2 linked regions of the Macaca mulatta genome follow. The protein of the gene in region 1 interacts with the protein of each later gene in a biochemical or structural test. Links are inferred from orthologs where the notes say so. Each region holds a gene or a part of one and is shown on either strand. Other genes may lie near its edges.

Region 1 (10,677 bases):
CTGCCTTATGTCTGAACAAGGCAAACTGGCCTAGGTCAGAAACATTCCAGCCATGCTCGGGGTGCACCTCACCACCGTCATGCACATTCTGCTAAGGGATATTTGCTCATGTGGCAAAGACTGCACGATCACAGAGACGGCAGGCTCAGAGGGGACGGCCTCTCCACCCTGGCTGCCACTGGCCCTTCCTTTTGCTTTGCTCTCTTCATCCAGGGTTCAGAAAAGACTTTCGTTTGCATATCACTGATATTTTATCATGGTCTCAATCAAAGACAAACCAACCCCCAAATAAATGTCTACCTACCTAAGTTGAAGAGAAGCTTCCATAAATGAAATCGAGTCAAGGTTTTTCTCTCTCTTCAATCACTCTACTTAAAACCTTTCCAGCCTTTGGAAGGCCAGCACCAAGGCTTGTTCCCTGTTATGGGGTGCTACAACCAACATGTAAAGAGCTGACATTCCCTCCATACTTGTGACTAACCAGCCCTGGTAGGTGTCCCCAAATAAACACAGATCTGAGATCGGGATGATGGGAGCACCAGATCTTCCTGAAAGCGTCAGCCCTGTTGTAGAACCTAGACAGACACACTGGCAGGGGCTAAACTGTCCCCCCTAAATTCATATGGTGAAGCCCTAACCCCTAAGTGACTATATTTGGAGACAGGACACTTCAGGAGGCAATTAAGGTTAAAAAAGGTCTTAAGAGTGGGGCCCTGATCCAATAGGACAGATGTCCTTATAAGAGGAAGAGACACCAGACCTCTCTCTCAGTGCGTTCACAGAAGGCAGGCTACGTGAGCGAGGACACAAGAAGACGAGCCAGGAAGAGATTCTCAACAGAAATCAGCCCTGCCGGCCCCAGGGCCATGGACTTCCAGCCTCCAGAACGCTGAGAAAATAAATGTCTGCAGCTTCAGCCACCCATTCCGTTTGGTGTGTCTTTGTGTGTGTGTGTGTTGGTTTGTTTTTGAGATAGGGTCTCACGCTGTCACCCAGGCTGGAGTACAGTGGCGCGATCTCCGCTCACTGCAACCTCCGCCTCCTGGGTTCAAGCAATTCGCATGACTCAGCCTCCCAAGTAGCTGGGATTACAGTCGTTGAGCCACTGCGCCTGGCCTCTGTGTTTTATTCTCTTAAGGCAGCTGGAGCTGACTAATACATGCCCTAAACAGGAATAAGCTCTCTCAACTTGAGGAGGCTTTCCAGGGTAATCCTGGCCCATAACCAGGAGGCGAGGACAAGAGAGACTGACATTGCTCCTGCCGGCCTCCTCTCACACCACTACCGGCCTCCCCTCACACCACTCAACCTCAGTCAACTCACACCCAGAATCTTCTCAGCCAATATACACACAGCTGCGACACGGCAAAGGCAGACACCCAAGGCCGCTGTGTTTCATAAACTGTCTCAGGATAAAACAACTCTACCCAGCAACCCGTGGGTGCTCCTCATGTACGGCCTGCAGAAGGACTTAACCCTAAATTCAAGCTCCGTCATCCCTAGTCTCCCACCTAGAAATAAGGGCCAGAACCAAGTGCGCCATGTTATTCTGACTCTTAAAATGATGGTGTACGTGAAAAGGACTTTGCAAACGATGAATGAGCGTGCATGCATTAGTACATGCCATTCTCTCATCATGGCATTTTAGGTCCTCACTAACAATTGGGCAACAGGAGCACCCCACTTCACAAAACTGTCTCAAAAGAAGCAACTGCAATACTTAAAATTCTGAGCGCACTTGAAGCTTCTTTTCTTAAAAACACTACAAATACAATAGTAGAAAGAAGGGGTGACACAAATAACCAACTTACCAGGCCAGGATCACAAATGCTCTGCCCAGCGTTTCGAATTCAGGTTGATATGAACAGACTAACCTACAAAAGTAAACCATTCAGCCAGCCCACCAGGTAACGCAGGTGGGTATGGGTCTGGCTTTGTTTCTGTTGTTGCCGTTGTTGTTTTTAAATGTAGCTTCAGGACTACAAATGACTCATGTGACAGAAAATTTGCCAAACAGAGAGGCCAGCAGACTAAATTCTCCCATTGTCTGAACATCCTGAGGTCAAAGCCTTCCAGAGTAGACAGAAGTTTCTGAGATTTACAAGAATGCTGGAGATCTCGTACCACTCGAATCTCAGTGGGAGGCTAGAGCTCCAATACTGACAGGCTGGGAACTCAATATTCACATATTCAATAAGTATTTGTTGCACACCCATTGTGTATAAGTGACAAGACCAGTCTGCCCCCAAGGGGTTCAGAATTTATTAAAGAAAAGATGAAGGCAAAAAAAAACCATAGGGCAGGGCATGGTGGCTCAGGCGTGTAATCCCAGTACTTTTGGAGGTCAAGGCAGGAGGCTCACTTGAGCCCAGGAGTTTGAGACCAGCCTTGGCAAAGCAGCAATACCCTGCCTCTACAAAAAAATGAAAATAAAAAAATTCACTGGGCATGGTGGTGCACACCTGTAGTCCCAGCTACTCGGAGGCTGAGGTGGGAAGATTGCCTGAATCCAGAAGATCAAGGATGCAATGAGCTGTGATCGTGCTACTGCACTCCAGCCTGGGTGACAGGGTGAGACCCTGCTTTAAAAAAAAAAAAAAAAAAAACCTGTAGGAAAGAATATCACACATGACAAATCAGGGACACAAAGAATGTGCTGTGGAGGTTTAAAGATGATGCCATCCCCTCTAGTTTGGAGTTGATAAGATGTGGGGAAGAAAAGAAATAAGAGATGACCCTTGGGATGAGTAAGAACTCAGGACTCAGCCTGGTCAGGGACAGTGACACAGTGAGACATCACTGTGACACTGCTACCTCAATCAAAATAACTTTCATTTCCACAGTTTTGAGAAATAAGATTCTGGAGGTAGGAATGTATGTGCCAGTGCATGTGTGTGTGGATGTGTGTCACTGGGCAGAGGTAATACTTGTTAACGTTCATTTACCTTTAGAAATAAACATACTTTGGGATATGTTCAAAGGAAAATACAGGAAAAGAATAGAGTCTAACTGTTTAATTGTGCTATTAAATGGCCTAAAGAAATGCAAAACTATTTTTGCTTTAGCTGCATACTTTTGATAACCCATTAAAAGGCTATCATGACCTTCTTCTGAGTTGGCTTAACTCAGGCATGGAACAACACACATGAAATCACGTTTTAGCTTAGGGCCTTTGAAAACGTGCCATGAAGTACTTCCATCACACATTTTAGGAAAGAGAAACCATTTGGAAGTGCCACTTGCCATCCCTCTGGATGGGAAAACTAATTTCCTAAGCCTCTGAAGTCAGTTGTGGGGAGTTTCCAGTTCACTTGTGAAAACAGTTTTCCCAAACATCGCTCATCATCCTCCCCTGCAGTTCCGGGAAGCAATTTTGGGCTCTTGTCATTAAGCCTCATTTTTAATGTCAGAGAATGAATTCCACAAGCCTTGTCTCCCCCAGTGCACATGGCAAGCCAGTCCGAGCAGTTAGAAAAATGGGTGTCCCATAGAGCAGCACAGCCTGCTCTAGCCAGGGCAAATTAAGCTAGCTCAACTGATCAAGTAAAGGACTCCAGTACATTCTGCGCCATTCGCGGAGTCTTAGGGTATTTTAAAAGGTTATCCAGTCTGTGCACATGCAAGGAAGATTTCCGGTGTATTTAAAATGGATGATAGTGCATTTCTCAAATATAGTACTGTGTACATAAGATCTGCTGTTTGTTGGAAAAGCTAAATAACCCAAAATGTAAATGACAGAGCCTGGGAATATGTCAGGGTCAAAGAGAGCAGGGATGAAGAAGATTTAAGTATGCAGCGCGTCCTAAGCAAAACACAAAGCCTGAAAACTGAGCACAGCCACCTGCAAGGCACCTTCAGCGAGCCCCACGGTTAACAGGGTCAGTTTCTCCACAAGTGGACAGAGGGGCTTATGCAGCAGCCAACTCTTCCTGATGGTAATTTGTGACCCAATTTCATCCAGTGTTTCATGATCAATCCCCCTGAATGTTTATGAAGCAGGAAAGAAGCTCAGAATCCAGGAGAGGCCTCCCGGACAGGAAGTGGGCCAGGCACCTCCACAGCTTCCTATGCCTAAAGTTCTCCATTTCAGCCTCAAGTAGCCACCAGAAGACCACTAAGATTCCGCCACCTTCTCCAATCAAAACTACATCTAACCAACCTCCAGGGGAGAATATACTGAGGTAGGATTTTCCCTTGTGTTCACTTCTTCACAAGCAAGGTTAACACTTGCTTCTCAGGAAATCCCTGTTCCAAACATCAAAAAACTTCCATGTCTAGCCCAATCTCCAGGTGAAGTCAATTTCTTCTCCACGTGTCCGATGACCGCCATTCTCTTTACATAAAACTCGCATAGGCTTGAATCCTGTTACTAATTCACCTGCTTATCTATGAAGCTTGGAAAGTGAATTGAGGGAGTGTTCACAAGCACAGTTCCGTTTCGGTAAGGTAAAGCAGCCCAGGTTAATTTCATTTTCCGTCACTTTTGAGACTTGATAACTACATCTAAAACAGAGGCATGAAAAACACCCTGAATCACTTTCATTACTACACAAAATCCCTTCCGAGAAGCGGGGACTGGGCCTGGGCCAGGAAGGGACTCCCCTACCTGTGGGTCCCACCAAGCCACGCCCACCGGCCTCTCAGGGTGGTTTCTTTCTGGGTCGAGGGATGGAGCTGGCCCATGCGATATTTTAGGCCCCCTCCTGCCCACACTGGGGCCTGCTCATCCCATTATGCATATGCAAACTTGGCAGAAGCGGCCTTAAACCTGTTGGCAAAATAAACAAAGCCAAATAAAGAGGAATCTGCCAACCTGAATTGTGAGAAGTGACCAAGGCCGACTACACGACTCCACGCCCGCTCGGCTTTGTCCCTGAAGCTGCTACAAAACTAGTTTAAGTCAGGTGCCTGGGGTCCACCAGCCAATGACCCCTAGCATCCAGCGCAGACCTTCACAGAGATCCTTATTGTCTACAAATTACAGCGTTTTGCAAATTAAACCCCTCCCCACAATGCCAAGCTAACTGTGCTCATAAGGGAGTTACCGTCCATGCCTTAAAACTCACACATCAAATTTTTCCAAAACCACTGGGTGATTAAATCGCCCTGAAAAACACCGAGAGGGCCGAGCGGTTGTGAGAAACTTTGGTTCAGGTGGCTGTAAGAGTCCTGTAAATCTGGGGCAGGGCGCAGAGCCTGAAGCCGGGCACAAAAGCTCCCTTCGCCGAAGCGAAGACCTCCTTTATGCGATGTGACAGCAGCTTTGTGCGCGATCATAAATAGTTGTAATAAACACAGTTAAGTTCTCCCGGCCGATCGCGGCCTCCCCGGTCCCTGCGCCGGGGCCCTGCGATCCGCGGCTATTCTTCCCCGGCACACGCGCCCTGGCGACCCTGGCCACCGCACGGTCCCACGCTAGCCCCGAGCTCCGTGCCAGCCGCCCGCCCGCAGGCCAGGCGCAGCCTGCGCACCCGGGGGTCTCCAGTCCCCGGGCCCCGCCGCCGGGCCCCCTGCCCTGATCCCCGCCCGCGCCCTTGGCTGGCGTCCCCGCCTCTGCGCCGGGCCGCGATGGTGGGGGTTGGGGATGGGAAGGCGGGCAGGAAGGTGCCGAGCCGGGAGATGCCCGGCAGCCCACAGTCGGGGGCGCCCAGGCCGCGGCGGGGCCGAGAGTACCGGTGGGGCGCGGAGGCGACCCGCTCTCGCAGCCCCTTCCCGGGCGCACCCCGGCCCACGAGCCCCGCCGCGCTCCCAACTCCGCCCAACGACCCCAAGTTTGTGGCCCCCTCCCCGCGCCCGCCTGGCCGTGCTTACCTCGCTGTGGGCCGCCCGCGGAGCCGGAGGGCAGCGGCGCGGGTCCCGGGGCGGCGGCCGCGCTGCGCCCGCCCAGGCGCCGCTCTTTGTCTGCGCCGCTCCCTCCTCCCGCCGCCGGGCGGACGCTGCCGGCCCGGGCGGACCCCGCCGGCCCGGGCGCCGCGAGCCTCCCCGCAGCCGAGCCCTCCCCTCCGCCCGCCGTCCGCTCGGCCGCGCGGCTCCGGCCTGACGATCCCCGCGGCGGCGGCGGCGGCGGCGGCGGCGGCGGCGACCCTCCCCCGGCGCGCAGCGCCCGCCTCCTCCGCGCTCTTCCTCCTCCTCCCGCGCTCCTCCCCGGCAGCGCCGTGACGCCGCCCAGGGGCCGGCCCAGGCCCGGGCACGCGGGGCGGGGCGGGGACCCGAGACCCACCTGGGGCGCCCCCCGGCGCCGCCAGGCTCCGCGCCCGGGTCTCGGTACGGGCGCGGGTATAGCGCGGGGCTGCGGGACGCTCCGCTCTGGAGGCGCAGCACTGGCCCGGCGCCGGGGACAGGAAAGGGTCCCCACGCCCGAAATTGCGCGCGGGCGGTGGGGGGCAGGCTGGGTGGGTGGGGAGGAGAGTGAAAACATAGGCTGCAACTTCCAGCCTGGGATGCCTGCCGGGTGGGCTTTGCGTCCTCTTGTTTGTTTGTTTGATGTCCTTATCGCGAAGCTGTAGTTGCTGGGCAGCCGCCCCCCTCCCGGAAGCATTCCCACGGCACTCAGCTAAGCAGGCCTGGTGTCCATCAGAAAAGTGACTTAAATAAAAATGTCACTTCCTCCTTGTAATTGCTTGTGGGCATTTTTATTTATTTGTCTTGCATCTATTTACTTTCCCAACCAGACACGTTTTTAGTCCATCATCCCTGTCTGAGGCACTTCCTAAAGGGAGAAGAAACTCGACCTCTGTTGCCTCCCAGGCATCCAGGCCAGCCCCAGCCAGTGGAATCCTGGTTGCACACCCATGGGGACAGGATCCGAAGAGGAGCTGCCCGAATGTGCCCCTAGAAGGAGTGTCGCTAATGATGGGACTGTTCAGCTCACCCAGCCTCAAGTTGTGGCTAGCCTATAAACAAACTTGGAAGATTAAAACCCAAAAGCAAGGGGAAAGACGCAAGTTTCCCTTTCACAGACACATGCATCCGGATGTCTTTTCTCCTCCCCATATGGTTTCCCAAAGGAAATCCTAATATTCAAATGATTCTGATTTCCTGGCAGGATAGCCTGCATCCATGTTAATGAGATTCTTTCTTAGGCTGCTGGTCTCTGCTTACTATTAAGACAATAATAATTTATCCAAGGTTACAAGGCAGTATTATTTGATTCAGTCATCTGCTTCCTTCCAGAAAGGAAGTACCCAAGGACAGGTAACTAGAGTCAGTGTAGCTTTGAAGTCAGACAGGTGAGTGTTTGTTGACTTCCTGAACTGTGTAACCTTGCACAGGTGGTCTTAGCCTTTCTAACATCTGTCAAATGGGGAGATAATATTTACCTACCTCCTATGTGAAGGACTCTGGCAGTAGGTAGCCCTCAATAGCTCAGTAAGTGGAAGAAGGCACAGTACACTGAGCAGGGATCAGGTACAAGCTCAGGGAATCAGGACAGCCTCCCTTTTCCTTGTTTTGATCCTGTGAAAGAAGCTACTTCAGTTCATCCTTTTGTGCAAGCCTCGTGTTACTAATATCTAGCTTTACAATAAGGAAAGAAGAATACTAGTCATCAGTCTGCCCAATTTTAAATTAATTTACTCAAAATAAGTATAACAATGTTGACCCAGTTTCTAGCTGGTTTGCTTTGTAAACTTTCACTGAATCGTGGTTGTTGCGTGCCTCTTCCTTCTCTGATTTTTTAGAAAGTCACCGATGTCATTATCTATCTACATCCAGTGGCCCTTTATCAATCTTTATCCTATGCAGTTTTCTGAAGTATGTGGCATTTCTGCTATTTCCAGAAACACCATCATCTTTTCATTCATCAAACACAGCCAGTTCTGATTCTTTTACCTTTCTGACCTACCCATCTGCCTCCTCTAGAGAGTTTGTTGTCTTCCCACCCTCTAAAAGTAATATCCCCAAGGCAGATGGTGGTCCTTTGTTTTTATTCTGATATGCACCTTTTTTTTTTTTTAAGAGAGAGTTGATTGTTTTTTGTACACTCCCTGTCTAAACCTTCATTGATTAACTCCCAGACCCCGTAGTCTTAGAGAGCTCCCCAGCTAATCTGCACTCCCTACACATGGCCCAGCATCTCTTCTAGGTCACCATGTTCAGAATGAAACTCATCTCCTCCCCAGACTAGCTCCTCCTCCCATGGTTTCAGGCCTGGCCAAGAGTCTACCAGGCACCTCAGCTCCCGGGAGAAACCTCATTGTCATCTTGGCTTTTCCTTCCCTCTCTCCAAGTTCTCCCCAAGAAAAGCCAGGAGAGCGCTGAATGACACTAAGACCCCTTTCAGTCCACCCCCATGGTTCTGAGTCCTGGTGATTCTTAAACATCTTTTTGACTGCACCTTTCTTTCCATTTCCATCACTGGCATCATAACTTATACATCATTCCTAGCAATGCTTATAAAGTATCTTGATTGAATTCTTGACATAAATCATCTCTAATCCACACACAATAGTATTGTCCCCATTTTACAGATGAAATCACTTGATCAGTGGATCAAATAACTGGGGTCAGAACTGCAAGTACGTGACTCCAAAACTCTTGTTCATTTCCCCACAACTGCCTTCCAACTGGTCTCCCATTACTTACTTATTAAATCCCTCAGATTTGCACTGGACGTCAATGTCATCCTAACCTTCCTATAAATTGCTTCCATTTGCCGGTGGTTGTGCTTAAGAACTTCTCATGGTTCCCCATTTCCCACCACGGTCTCCTCAAAAGTTATGTGATGACAGAAGACTGAGCATTTTCCCCCGGGGAGGCTGGGGGATTTAGCCCTGAGTGGCCTGTGTGAGTTTCCTGGGGCTGCCTTAACAAATGACCGCAAACTGGGTGACAGAGGTTATTTTCTCAAAGTTCTGGAGGTCAGAAGTCTGATATCAAGACACTAGCCTCTCTCCGAAGGCTGTAGAGGACAATCCTTCCCTGCCCCTTCCAGCTTCTGGCGGCTGCAGGCATTCCTTGGCTTGTGGCAGCGTCACTCCCACCTCTGCCTCTCTGTCTTCACACAACCTGGTTCCCTGTGTCCTTTCCCTTCTCTCTTTTTGTAAAGACAAGGACCATTGAATTTAGGGCTCACTGTAGTCCAGCATGATGTCATCTCGACATCCTTATCTTACAACATCTGCAAAGACCTTTTTTCCAAATAAAGTCACATTCTCAGCTTCCAGGTGAACATATCTTTTAGGGCCAACATCCAACCCACTGGAAGGCTTAATATGGGGGAGACATTTCTTTGAAGCTTATGTTTTATCTAAAACTATACAGGTTTTCCTGCATTCTATTCCATTAATGTGTCCACACCTGTTTTACTGTCTTCAATCACAAAGTATTGAAAGCATAAAAAACATAGAGTGGAAGGAGGTGTAGTACACTTTTGTCTAAAATCACATTAGCATTACGCATTATGACCTCTCTTCCAAAGGCCTCTCAAACTTAGTCCTGCCATACAATCTCCTTTTTACCTCTGTCCAGTGTAAGCTGTTTGCTTCAGTCACTCAGCTCTGCCCACAGTGCCACACTGAATCACACTAGTTTCAGCCTTCTGTGGTGTGAAGGCGGTTAGGAATTCCCTGTCCCCCTCCTTCTCTTTCAGATCTCCATTCAAGGCTTTCTCTAATCCCTCCTTGGACTCATGGAAAACACAAAGTGAGGTTGAGGGTGCTGTCCAAGTCAGACATCAGAGGCTCAAAGCCTACCTTCAAGCCCGTGCCTTGGGATCATTTCACCTCTCTGAGCCTCAGATATTAATAGTGCTCTTGCAAAACGTTGTGAGAATTAAAGGAGATAATGTAAACGTGTCTCAACTGTGTGTTCAGCACATGGTAAACACTCATGTCTGCTTTCTCATGACCTTCTCTCTTAACCATCAATTCAATGAAGCATATCTGGTGTAGTTCTATTTGTAAGGCATTATAAGGTCCACTTCAGGATTCATTCATTTGATGCAGATACCAAAGAACACCTGGATGTGCAAAGAGCAGATGTAAGATTGCATTATTCAGAGAGGTGATAACGCAAACTGGAGTGGAGTGAACAGATGGGAAAATAGTTTAGGAGAAATGGAAAGGAAAGATCCAAAAAGAAGGTTGAAACGAGCATACAAATAACTATAATATAAAACTAAATATGAACAGTACCGAAGAAAATATGTCTGGAGAATCGGGAGAGGATTTAGGCTTTAGGCTTTATGAAAGGTGGTGGCATTGGCAATGACCTTGAGAGATGACATGGTGAGAAGCTGCCTTTAATTGGGCTGCCCCGGGTCTAGCCCCTTCCCGGTTTTAGAGAGACCTGTCTGAACCCTGGAGGGAGGCAGAGTGGGCACCTCAATCTCTCCATTCCCAGAAGCCCTGTGAGGATGAACAGCCTGGAATTGGCCAGTGGAACCCTCCCACTCAAGACTGTGAAACTGGAGAGGGTGACAAGGACAAGGGAGGGTGAAATTCAATTTGCCATAGCTGAAATAGTCCCAGCACGTCCCTCCCACAGGAGTGAGCCAGCTCCATTCTCACCCCTTCTGCTCTCCAGTTCCCCTGTGAGCTACTTGATATTCTTCTAGTAAATTCTCCTGTTCTGCTTAAGGTACCCAGAGGCACTTTCTCTTTTTGCAACCCGAACCCCTGAATAATGCAAATGGTAGCATTTTGAAAGGTGGAGATAGACAGGGAGAAAATTCCCAGT
Region 2 (10,501 bases), about 5.4 Mb from region 1:
GTCGGCCGGGCGCGGTGGCTCAAGCCTGTAATCCCAGCACTTTGGGAGGCCGAGACGGGCGGATCACGAGGTCAGGAGATCAAGACCATCCTGGCTAACACGGTGAAACCCCATCTCTACTAAAAAATACAAAAAAAAACTAGCCGGGCGAGGTGGCGGGCGCCTGTAGTCCCAGCTACTCGGGAGGCTGAGGCAGGAGAATGGCGTGAACCCGGGAGGCGGAGCTTGCAGTGAGCTGAGATCCGGCCACTGCACTCCAGCCTGGGCGACAGAGACAGACTCCCTCTCAAAAAAAAAAAAAAAAAAAAAAAAAAAAAAAAAAAATCCAAAAGTCAGCATCTCAAGGCCAATTTCTTTCCCTTCTAAGAATAGAATCTAAAATGCTTGTCAACTAAATGCCATACCATATAACCTAGACACAGGTTACCCCTTTGATTAAATTCTGTGGAAAGCAACTGCTTAAGTAACCTTAAAACCAGCCAAGATGCCCCGGTCCTGTTCCCTAATCGGTAAGACGAACCTGATTACCAGTATTATAAAGTGTATCTTAAAACCACAAAATTTTACATAATAAAGATCATTTTACAGATGGCAAAAGAGGTTCACAGAGATGGAAGGATCAGACCAACATCACAAGGCTAATTAGTTAAAGGAAGGCACGGGACTAGAAATCCAGGTTCCCTGCTCATAAAATCACACTCTCAATCAAAACAGATTACACCACGAATTTCAAACACTTGAAAGGACATGACAGGGATACCATCACGTTTCATGGTTAGGAAAGTGATACCAGGCTGTCAAGTAACCACTGTTGTGGCTGGTGGTGTGGGAAATCCCCCCATCAGTAACCCCACTACACCTTAAAACACAGAAGGCATTCAATAAATAATCTCAGGCTCTAACCATTGTGCAGTTTGCAAGAAGAAAAGCAACATGGCAGCTGGGTGAGGTGGCTCACACCTGTAATCCCAGGACTTTGGGAGGCTGAGGCCGATGGATTACTTGAGGTCAAGAGTTCGAGACCAGTGTGACCAACATGGTAAAACCTCGTCTCTAATAAAAATACAAAATTAGCCAGGTGTGGTGGTGCATGCCTGTAGTCCCAGCTGCTTGGGAGGCTGAGGCAAGAGAATCACTTGAACCTGGGAGGCAGAGGTTGCAGTGAGCCGAGATTTCACCACTGCACTCCAGCCTGGGCAACAAGAACAAAACTCCATTTCAAAAAGGAAAAAAAAAAAAGAAAAGAAAAGCAACACGGCTTCGACAGGCATACAATTAGATCAGGATTTCACATGAAGACCTATTTGTAGGGAGAAGGTCCCCCATGCAGGGCAGGAACTGGTCAAGTGGTCCTTCAATTTTTGGCCAGTTTATTTTCACAGAACTACTCACAGCATGAGCTCTACACCTGTGTGTCTAGTCCGCTGGTACAGCTTCTGACCTTCCAAATATTTAATCAATGTACTTCATGAAGTTATTACCAACTTTCTCCTGAATTTTCACAACCAACTAGTGAGACAGACAGGTGGACAGTCTCCATTCTATAGACAGAGTAACTAACTGCCTTGCCCCTATTGGTTTCCAAGTTTTGCTGTTTCCTTAGCAAAAGTGGTCCCACTTACTTGCTTCACTCCCCTCCACACCTCTGGAAGACAACTTTCCCTCTGCCTTCCTCCCACAAATGTTTCACAAAACAGTCAGCCCGTTTTGTAGCCTTGCCATAAATAACTGCGTGTAGACACACCATGTTCATCACTTCAGACCAGTCAAAGATCAACTTTATCTAACAGGTTTGAATGCAGAATTAAATGTCACAAAAAAAAGGAAGGAAGGGAGAAAGGGAAGCAGCTTCACTGCTCAGTAAACCTGGCCTAAGCCTCATGTTAAAATGAATTTCCATTTTGTCATTTCAAAGTTCCTGTGGGCTGGGGAAAAAATCTGTACAATTCTCATCATCGCCCAGCTTTGCCACAAGCCAGATGACTGTGGCAGTTTCACAAAACTCTGGAGAGGTCTGTGCTTCTTCCTTCTTCCTGACCAAAGTCCACAGGTGTTCCTGGATGGAGGAACATGGTAAGCTCCACACCTGCCTGGTCATTCTCAGTACTGTTCTCATTATTGTTCCAAGGAAAAAGTATTTAAAACCATTTGGAAACCAGAAGATGCTGCTCAAATATATGGCACTGTGGTTAATTCTAAACCCTCTCAAAAGATTCACCAAACCTCAACAATCTTAATGGGACTCTAAAAGAGCCCAAAAAGAATATTCTAGAATGTCCTGGCTCATTATCACCTAAATCAGTGGTTTCCAAAATGTCGGGGTCACCATGACTCTTTCAGGAGGTGGAAAGCTCCTCTGTTTTCCAACTACATCTCTGTGGGAGGCCACATTTTCTTCATATATTTCATCTAAAACAATATACCGTAATAGGTTGAATGCAGAAACAAATATGAGAAACTTTTATTAAGACAGATATTAACGGCCGGGCGCGGTGGCTCAAGCCTGTAATCCCAGCACTTTGGGAGGCTGAGACGGGCGGATCACGAGGTCAGGAGATCGAGACCATCCTGGCGAACACGGTGAAACCCCGTCTCTACTAAAAAAATACAAAAAACTAGCCGGGTGAGGCGGCGGGCGCCTGTAGTCCCAGCTACTCGGGAGGCTGAGGCAGGAGAATGGCGTAAACCCGGGGGGCGGAGCTTGCAGTGAGCTGAGATCAGGCCACTGCACTCCAGCCCGGGCGACAGAGCCAGACTCCGTCTCAAAGGAAAAAAAAAAAAAAAAAAAAAAAAAAAAGACAGATATTAACAAGATTCACAAAAATGTAACATAATGCCATCCTTTCCTCTAAACCTCTTCCATTTTGGAAAACAGTTATTTTTCATGAAAACATTAATATTAACATTTGCTATTAACATGTAATAAGCTTATTGTTTTTTTTTAAATGAAATAATAAGTATTTTAAATTGTTCCCAGTTTAAATTTCTCATACAGTAAATACTGATAAATGAAAGTTCTTTGAAGACCTTAATAGTTTTTAAGTGTTAAGAGGCCCTTAGATGAAAATGTTTGATTATCACTGACCAGTTTAAACTCATTATAATATAGATTGTTTCTACTTAAGTTCAAATACTCAAGTAGAATTAGGAAATAGGTAGCTACATCATAAAAACAAGCACATAGTTACTTCCCACACACGGGAAAAATGCGCTAGTTTTAGAAGTAACATAATATGTATTTTGCAAGAAGTATTCCTTTTTATAACAAGCAGAGGAAAAAAGGAAACAGAACAATCCCCTTGCTGCCCCCTGAACCAGTCAGGCTTCCCTTTCCTCTTTTGCCTTTGACCCTCTGGCACAATGCCTGTTTTTTATTTTTTATTTTTTTTAAATGTTGATTTTATATTTAATACAGATGACAGAAATTACTTTAAAAAAGTCATTAGTGACAGTTATAGCTATCGGATTAGTTATAATTAATTAGCTAATTTTTAAAAAAAAGATTTTCACTAAAAACTGTTGATGACAAGAAATACATAAGTGGGGAAGTATCTACCTATCTATAGATATTTATATGTAAAAATCAGGCCAGGCATGACTGATGAAGCTGATCTACTTCCACAAATCAACCTCACACAGCACACTTGATATCTTGCTTTCCATTATTCAAGTGTGCAAAACAAATTGTTTGGTCCTAAAATGCAGCAATGTATAAATCCAAAAATCATCTTGAGAGTTCAAGCAGTGAAAAAATTGGTGACTGTATTATTACAATTCCCCAGTTACTGTCCAACTGACCAAGAGCTCTCGGTGAGTTGTGAAGATAAGTGACATCTGTACCACAGAGAACGGATTATGGAAGTAGAGAACCGGGTCAGTTAAATTCTCATTAACTCTTACTTGACAAATTGGGGATATGCAGTAATTCTAAGCTCACAACTTTGAATGAGGTCAATAATCTTGAGCTGGTCTGATGGCTACTCTGCATTTTCTCAAAAAATGTGTTTACTAAAACCCATTTAATAATATAAATTAGCCTAGCTTTTTCGAGTTAACAGTATGTTCTATATGTGTATTGATTTGCTACTTATACAATGTATGTATTTATTCATTCAATTAAGAAACCCAGTTAGCTTACTTCAAACTGTTGTTACACATAACAAAAATATTTATCTTTAAACAGTCTGTAATTTGTTTTTTTCACTGTTCCAACCCATCTGCCCCTTATCTTTGGGCTGTTTTAGAGTGCAGAATTTTTCTAATGTAATTCCTGACAGCGACAACGATAAGCCTCCCCTGCGGACGACATGATGAAAATGCAGCTACCAAGTGATCAGGAATCTACTGAAGACGGGGCCGCGGTGCTCTCAGTGAGGGCAGCACCTCCCTCCCATCTGCGTGTCGCTGCATGTCTTACCGACAAGGAGCCTCCTGTCTCCCTAAACGTGCTGTACTGCGAGCCCCTCAGAGCCCTACCACCCTGGAAAACTCCCACTCAAAGTCCAGTCAATAAAATTGTATGGGCCAGCTCAGGATGGCTCCTGAACAGCCAGCCAAGAACGCCCGACCTGGAAGAGGGCACTCCAGGAGAGGAGACACTCACAATTTTGCATAAAAGTCACAGAACTCCTTGTAGACTTTCACGTCACTGTGCCTGCGCTGCAGTTTGGAGACAGCCCTCTCGTCCTCGGTCCCATTGGCCTCAGGGACACTGTTAAGGGCCGCTGGTGGGATTTCTTCGTTCTCTGGGATAACGCAGGGGCGCGCTCGGCCTGAGAAGGCCATCGTGGGTGCTTGCGAGCTCTGAGCACAGGGACGAGAGCCGCAGGACACAGAGCCAGGAGAAACAATATCCAGGCCTCCCTGCTTCCCAGCCAGGGTCACTCCCACCGTTCCCACGCACGTCAGCCCGACCCGCCAGGGTCACTGCTGCTGCTTCATGTTAAGAGCTCAGCAGCACAGGACAGTTACATGGCAGTCAGGATTTACTGAGGCTTTCTGGAAGTTCCAAAAAACATTCCACAAAATAGTGACACAGTCTGTCAGAGCAGCAGTCCCAGTGGACTATGCTATAAACACTGCACTAGGAGACAGGGGCTACCTCCTAAGCCTCCAAGAGAAGGAAATATCCACATGTGCCTTGCATATTTGCCACAAGACTTCATCACCAATGCCGTGCTTTTCACTCTGAAGGGCATAAGAGGCTTTTGGAGACCTTGTAAAACACCCCCTGACAAGCTCTCCCTGAGGCTGAGGCTGCTGGCACACTCTGAGGAGCATTTGAACCCTGCCTGGCCCTGGGTTTCCACAACCCTGGCCATGACTGCCAGCTATGCCCGATGGGTCCCTTCCCCAGCAGGCCGTGAGCCCCTAAAACTAACAGCAATGTTTGACTTCTATCACCTTTGCTACTGGTACATAGTCACAGTCCAATCTCAGCTTCAATGAATGGGCACCAGTGGAAACAGACAAGGGCCGGTGCTTAGTTATAACTCTTCTACTGGACTCCAGCTAACCTCAAAGCTTAGGTGAGCTGACGTTTCTCAATCTCTACCATGACTAAGGAAGCTGTTACATACTCTGGCATTCTTGCTATAATCAGTCCACACTCCTGTCTCCTGTGATTGAGTTAGCAATGCAAAAGGAAACTAAATCACTAAGCCAAGAGAAAAGTCAAGCTGGAAACTACGTCAGGCAAACCTGCCTCCCATTTTATTGCTAAATAAGATAGCTACAAAGATAACAACCCACATCCCTTCCTCACCATTTGCCCACAAGAAAATTCCTTATGGACAAAGGACAGACACAACTCAAAGTCATCCCTCTGAAGCTCACCTGAGACAAATGCGTATCTGATTGCTTCCTCTACCCTATTGTTCATGTAAAAATGTAGGTTCACTGAGTCACACACAATTGTGTATTCATTAGAAGGCTGATAAAGAACTCAAAAGAATGCAACTTTTTGTCTCTTACCTACTTGACTTGGAAACCCCCCACCCACTTCGAATTGCTCCGCCTTACTGAACCGAACATATATGTATGTACATCTTACATACATTGCTTGATGTCTCATGTCTCCCTAAAGTGTATAAAAGCAAGCTGTACCTCGACCACCCTGGGGCACATGTTGTCGGGACCTCCTGAGGCTGTGTCATGGGTGTGTCATTAACTTTAGCAAACCACACATTCTAAATCGACTAAGACTTGTCTCAGATACTTTTTGGTTTACAGCAATGATGACAATCATGATGTAGCACTAGAGACAACTAAAGGGCTCAGAATCCTTCTCACGTCCCCGTCCTCTCAGGGCAGTGTGCCACCCACCAAAACCAAGAGACTGTGAAATAAAATCTACAGAACAGGCACAAGGCACACTGATGGGCAGTCACGGAACCGGCAGCGGATAAACAAAATGCAGTAGAGACACCAAGTAATGACCATAAATAATGACATCCAAGAGTCAGTGAGTGCTTCCTACCACGGCCCTTAATCCTTCCCATGGCTTCTGAGATAGGTGGTAGTTACAAATGAAGAAACTGAGGCACAAAGAGACTGAAGAACTACTAAGGAGGTAGTGGAGTCAAGACTTAAACCTAGGCACTCTGAGTCCAGAGCCTATGCTGTTAATCCCTATGTCAGAAAATGGTAAACATAATTACTGGGAAGCACAATTAGCCAGAAAAGATTAGGCAGCGGGTACCAGACAGGACTGGAAGCAGAAAGTGGGACCAAATCTTTCTACTTTGAACCCTAAAAATCTCACAGAATGGGTCCAGAACTCAAAGGCTGCGGGCTACAGATCCTGCCCAGGCCCAAGGGAATCACCATATTTAAATAAGAAAGAAACAACCTCATGGTTTAAAATTTTTCCTTTCAATTTATCTACATTTCCTAATTTTTTAGGTTTCTCTTTTATAATGACCATGTGAAACAGTGAGGAGGCAGGGAGGGAGGGAGGGAAAGAGACAGACAGACAGAGGGATGAGGACAGAGGCAGGCTGACTCAGACTGTAAGTTTAATGCATCCGGTGGAGGTGGCATGGTAGGAGGCAGGAAGCCACGTGAGCCTTCTGCTTAGAATTCTCCCTCACAGTCTCCCCAGTTATCATGTTACGTGACTACAGTACAGGAGTAAAACCAGGAATCTGACATTGCTGCAACGTGTGTGTGCAGGTCTCTGTCATTTCATCACACGGGTGGCTTCCTGTAACAACAGCCTCTATCAACTTACAGGACTATTCCATCACCACAGAGTTCTCTTTCATGTTATCTCTGACCATCACATACCTCCGCACACTGCAACACTCCTAACCTCTGGCAACCACTCCTTTGTTTTTCATTTCTATGATTCTGCTATTTAAAGAATGTTACCTAAATGGAATCGTTCACGTGACATCTTAAGGCTTTTCATTCAGCACAATGCCCTGAGACCAAGTTGCTCCACATGCCCACAGTTTGCTCTTGTTTACTGCCAAGTAATATTCCATGACATGGATGCGTAATTTGTTTCACCGTTCACCCGCTGAAGGACATTTAAGTACTTTCCTTCCAATTTGTGGCACTGTGAATAAAACTATAGACATTTCTGTATTGCATATATTTTTATTTCTCTGGGATAAATGCCCAATAGTAAAACTGCTGAGTTGTACGGTAAGTGAATGTTTAGTTTTAAAGAAACTGCCTGTGATATTGTGACTTTTAATAATAAATCTATTATTGGTCTCTGCCCCCCCATTTCCTGGCACAGGGCTCCGAAAACTCTTGACTCTCTGAAGTGGTACGTGTCTTTTGCAGGCTAATGTGACAGGTGTGGGGCTGGTTGCTGGAGAACCCATCATGCAATAAGAAGGCTGAAACTGCCGGCTCCAGCCCCAACCCCTTGGAAACGAGAGGAGCTGGGGATTTTGATAATCACCAGTTGTCAATGATCAAATCAATCATGCCTATGAAATGAAGCCTCCATAAAAACTCAATAGGATAGAGTTTGGGGAACTTCTGGGTTGCTGAACATATGGAGGTGCTGGGAGGGTGGCGCTCCCAGAGGAGAGAAGCTCTGCTGCTTCCCTACACCTTGCCCCATGTATCTCTTCCATCTGGCTGTTCTTAAGTTATGCTAGGTAAGGATTGCTAGGGGGAAGCAGATAGAGATCTTCCTTTTATCTGGTTTCCTCTACCTACATCTGTGACTATTTTAATGAGGGTGGTTGGCACACAGTGACCCTAAACAGAACTCTTCAATAGAGGTCACCTTAATATGACCTGGTTTTATGATCAAAGGTACCATATACTATGAAGATATTTTTAAACTGTTATCAATCAATGTAACATTTTATGTGAATGTAAAATAGGTTTGTGGCTCTGTTCCTTTGTTTACAATTTTGCTCGATCTCATTCTCTCCTCTTGGCCTTTTTTTCACTTCGGAGTATCCTAATGGGAGTCGGGCGGGAGAAGAGAGGCTGAAGTTCTGAAGGAAGAAAAGATGCAGCAAGAAAGCTTGATTGTCTTCTATCACATTGTATAGATCACCTTCCCATTAGCTTCTCCCTAGGAACTGACCACCCAACCAGCTGATTCTCAGCATAAATAACACAAGGCAAAGAAATTCTCTGCACATTACCCAAGCTACTTACACTGAAACAACGAAGGAGCTAATGTGGCAGGTAAAGCCAAGCAGGAGGTTCAGACACGTCCTCCACTGCAATGGTAGGAGTAAACAAGCCCTGGGGTTTCAGGAGCTGGTGACAGCACTGATGGGCTGCCCTTCCTTTAGCAGCCCATTTTGGCATTCTGGTAAAGTCTATTTCTTCTCGAAAAACAGTTGCTCGCATTATTCCACTGTTGGCTTTACATCATTCCTGGACATATGGAACTTTTACTATGTGCCCATGATGCAATAGGCCCAGTGTGGTACCTAAGAAGTATCCAGCCCACCATCAGTAGAAGATACTACAATCTGCTGAATGAATGAATGAATAAATAAATAAAAGTCATAGCCTCTGCTTCTATGAGTATACAGTGTATAGTCTGGTGCCCAGTGCTGAGTGAACAAGGTTGTTTTTATGTCCCTACTACTCTGAATAAGGATCTGTAACAGTGTGGCCATGGAAAGTTGAGGTGGTGGTCGGGTGCGGTGCCTCACGCCTGTAATCCCTGCACTTTGGGAGGCCGAGGCGGGTGGATCACCTGAGGTCAGGAGTTTGAGACTTGGCCAGGAGCCTGGCCAACATGATGAAACCCCATCTCTACTAAAAATACAAAAAATTAGCTGGGCGTGGTGGTGGGCACCTATAATCCCAGCTACTCAGGAGGCTGAGGCAGGAGAATCGCTTGAACCCAGGAGGCAAAGGCTGCAGTGAGCCAAGATCGTACCACTGCACTCAGACCTGGGCCATGAGAGCAAAACTCCGTCTCAAAAGGAAAAAAAGAAAAAAAGAGAGAGAAAGTATAGGCAGTACACAATTCTCCCAAAAAGATTACCTGTAGTCACTCCTCTTATTTAGCTACAAGAGAGTAAAGCTAAAAGAAATATGTTATTTTTCCAAGAGGACAAGGGAGTGGTTTAATTCTGAATAAACACCATAGCTCAACTTTTATATTCAGCATTTTGATACTGTGAAATCATTTTCAGGAATTATTAATGCCACTCTAAGAACTGCAAACAAATTTAATTCGAACTACTACTGCCACGGCAGTGGCATCAGAATAGCCATTGAAGTAGGGTGGGAGGATGTTATTTGAAAATACCAAAAACGTCAGATTCGTCTGAATAGCAGGTCTGCTAGGTGGCTTTTGATGAAGAATTAGGATTGTGTGAGGTCCTCAATACCCTAAGGGTGTTTCTTTTTTTAAATGTTGAAAGTATTTATTTATTTTACTGTTGAAAGTATTTATTTATTTTATTATACTTTAAGTTCTGAGGTAGGTACATATGCAGAATGTACAGGTTTGTTACATGGGTATACATGTGCCGTGGTGGTTTGCTGCACCCATCAACCTGTCATCTACATTAGGTATTTCTCCTAATGCTATCCCTCCCCTAGTCCCCACCCACTGACAGGCCCCAGTGTGTGATGTTCCCCTCCCTGTGTCCATGTGTTCTCATTGATCAACTCCCACTTATGAGTGAGAACATGTGGTGTTTGGTTTTCTGTTCTTGTGATAGTTTGCCGAGAATGATGGTTTCCAGAGTCATCCATGTCCCTGCAAAGGGCATGAACTCATCCTTTTTTATGGCTGCATAATATTCTATGGTGTATATGTGCTACATTTTCTTTATCCAGTCTATCATTGATGGGCATTTGGGTTGGTTCCAAGTCTTTGCTATTGTAAACAGTGTGGCAATCAACATACACGTGCATGTGTCTTTATAGAAAGATTTATAATACTTTGGGTATATAACCAGTAATGGGATTGCTGGGTCAAATGGTATTTCTAGTTCTAGATCCTTGAGGAATCGCCACACTGTCTTCCACAATGGTTGAACTAATATACACTCCCACC

The links. The genes of interacting proteins can lie anywhere in the genome.
Region 2: the proteins of NCK2 (region 1) and LIMS1 form a complex in vitro, tested with the Homo sapiens proteins (4 studies listed by BioGRID and IntAct, with this or other methods). The link is inferred for Macaca mulatta from reciprocal best matches to the Homo sapiens genes NCK2 and LIMS1.

The regions. Positions count from the first base shown.
Region 1 is NC_133418.1:13,838,634-13,849,310, reverse strand, and holds the start of NCK2 (cytoplasmic protein NCK2), read right to left. Parts: upstream 6,039-10,677; 5' UTR 5,812-6,038; intron 1-5,811. UniProt on the Homo sapiens protein: Adapter protein which associates with tyrosine-phosphorylated growth factor receptors or their cellular substrates. Maintains low levels of EIF2S1 phosphorylation by promoting its dephosphorylation by PP1.
Region 2 is NC_133418.1:19,217,844-19,228,344, reverse strand, and holds the start of LIMS1 (LIM and senescent cell antigen-like-containing domain protein 1), read right to left. Parts: upstream 5,026-10,501; 5' UTR 4,786-5,025; coding exon 4,604-4,785; intron 1-4,603. UniProt on the Homo sapiens protein: Within the IPP (ILK-PINCH-PARVIN) complex, binds to F-actin, promoting F-actin bundling, a process required to generate force for actin cytoskeleton reorganization and subsequent dynamic cell adhesion events such as cell spreading and migration.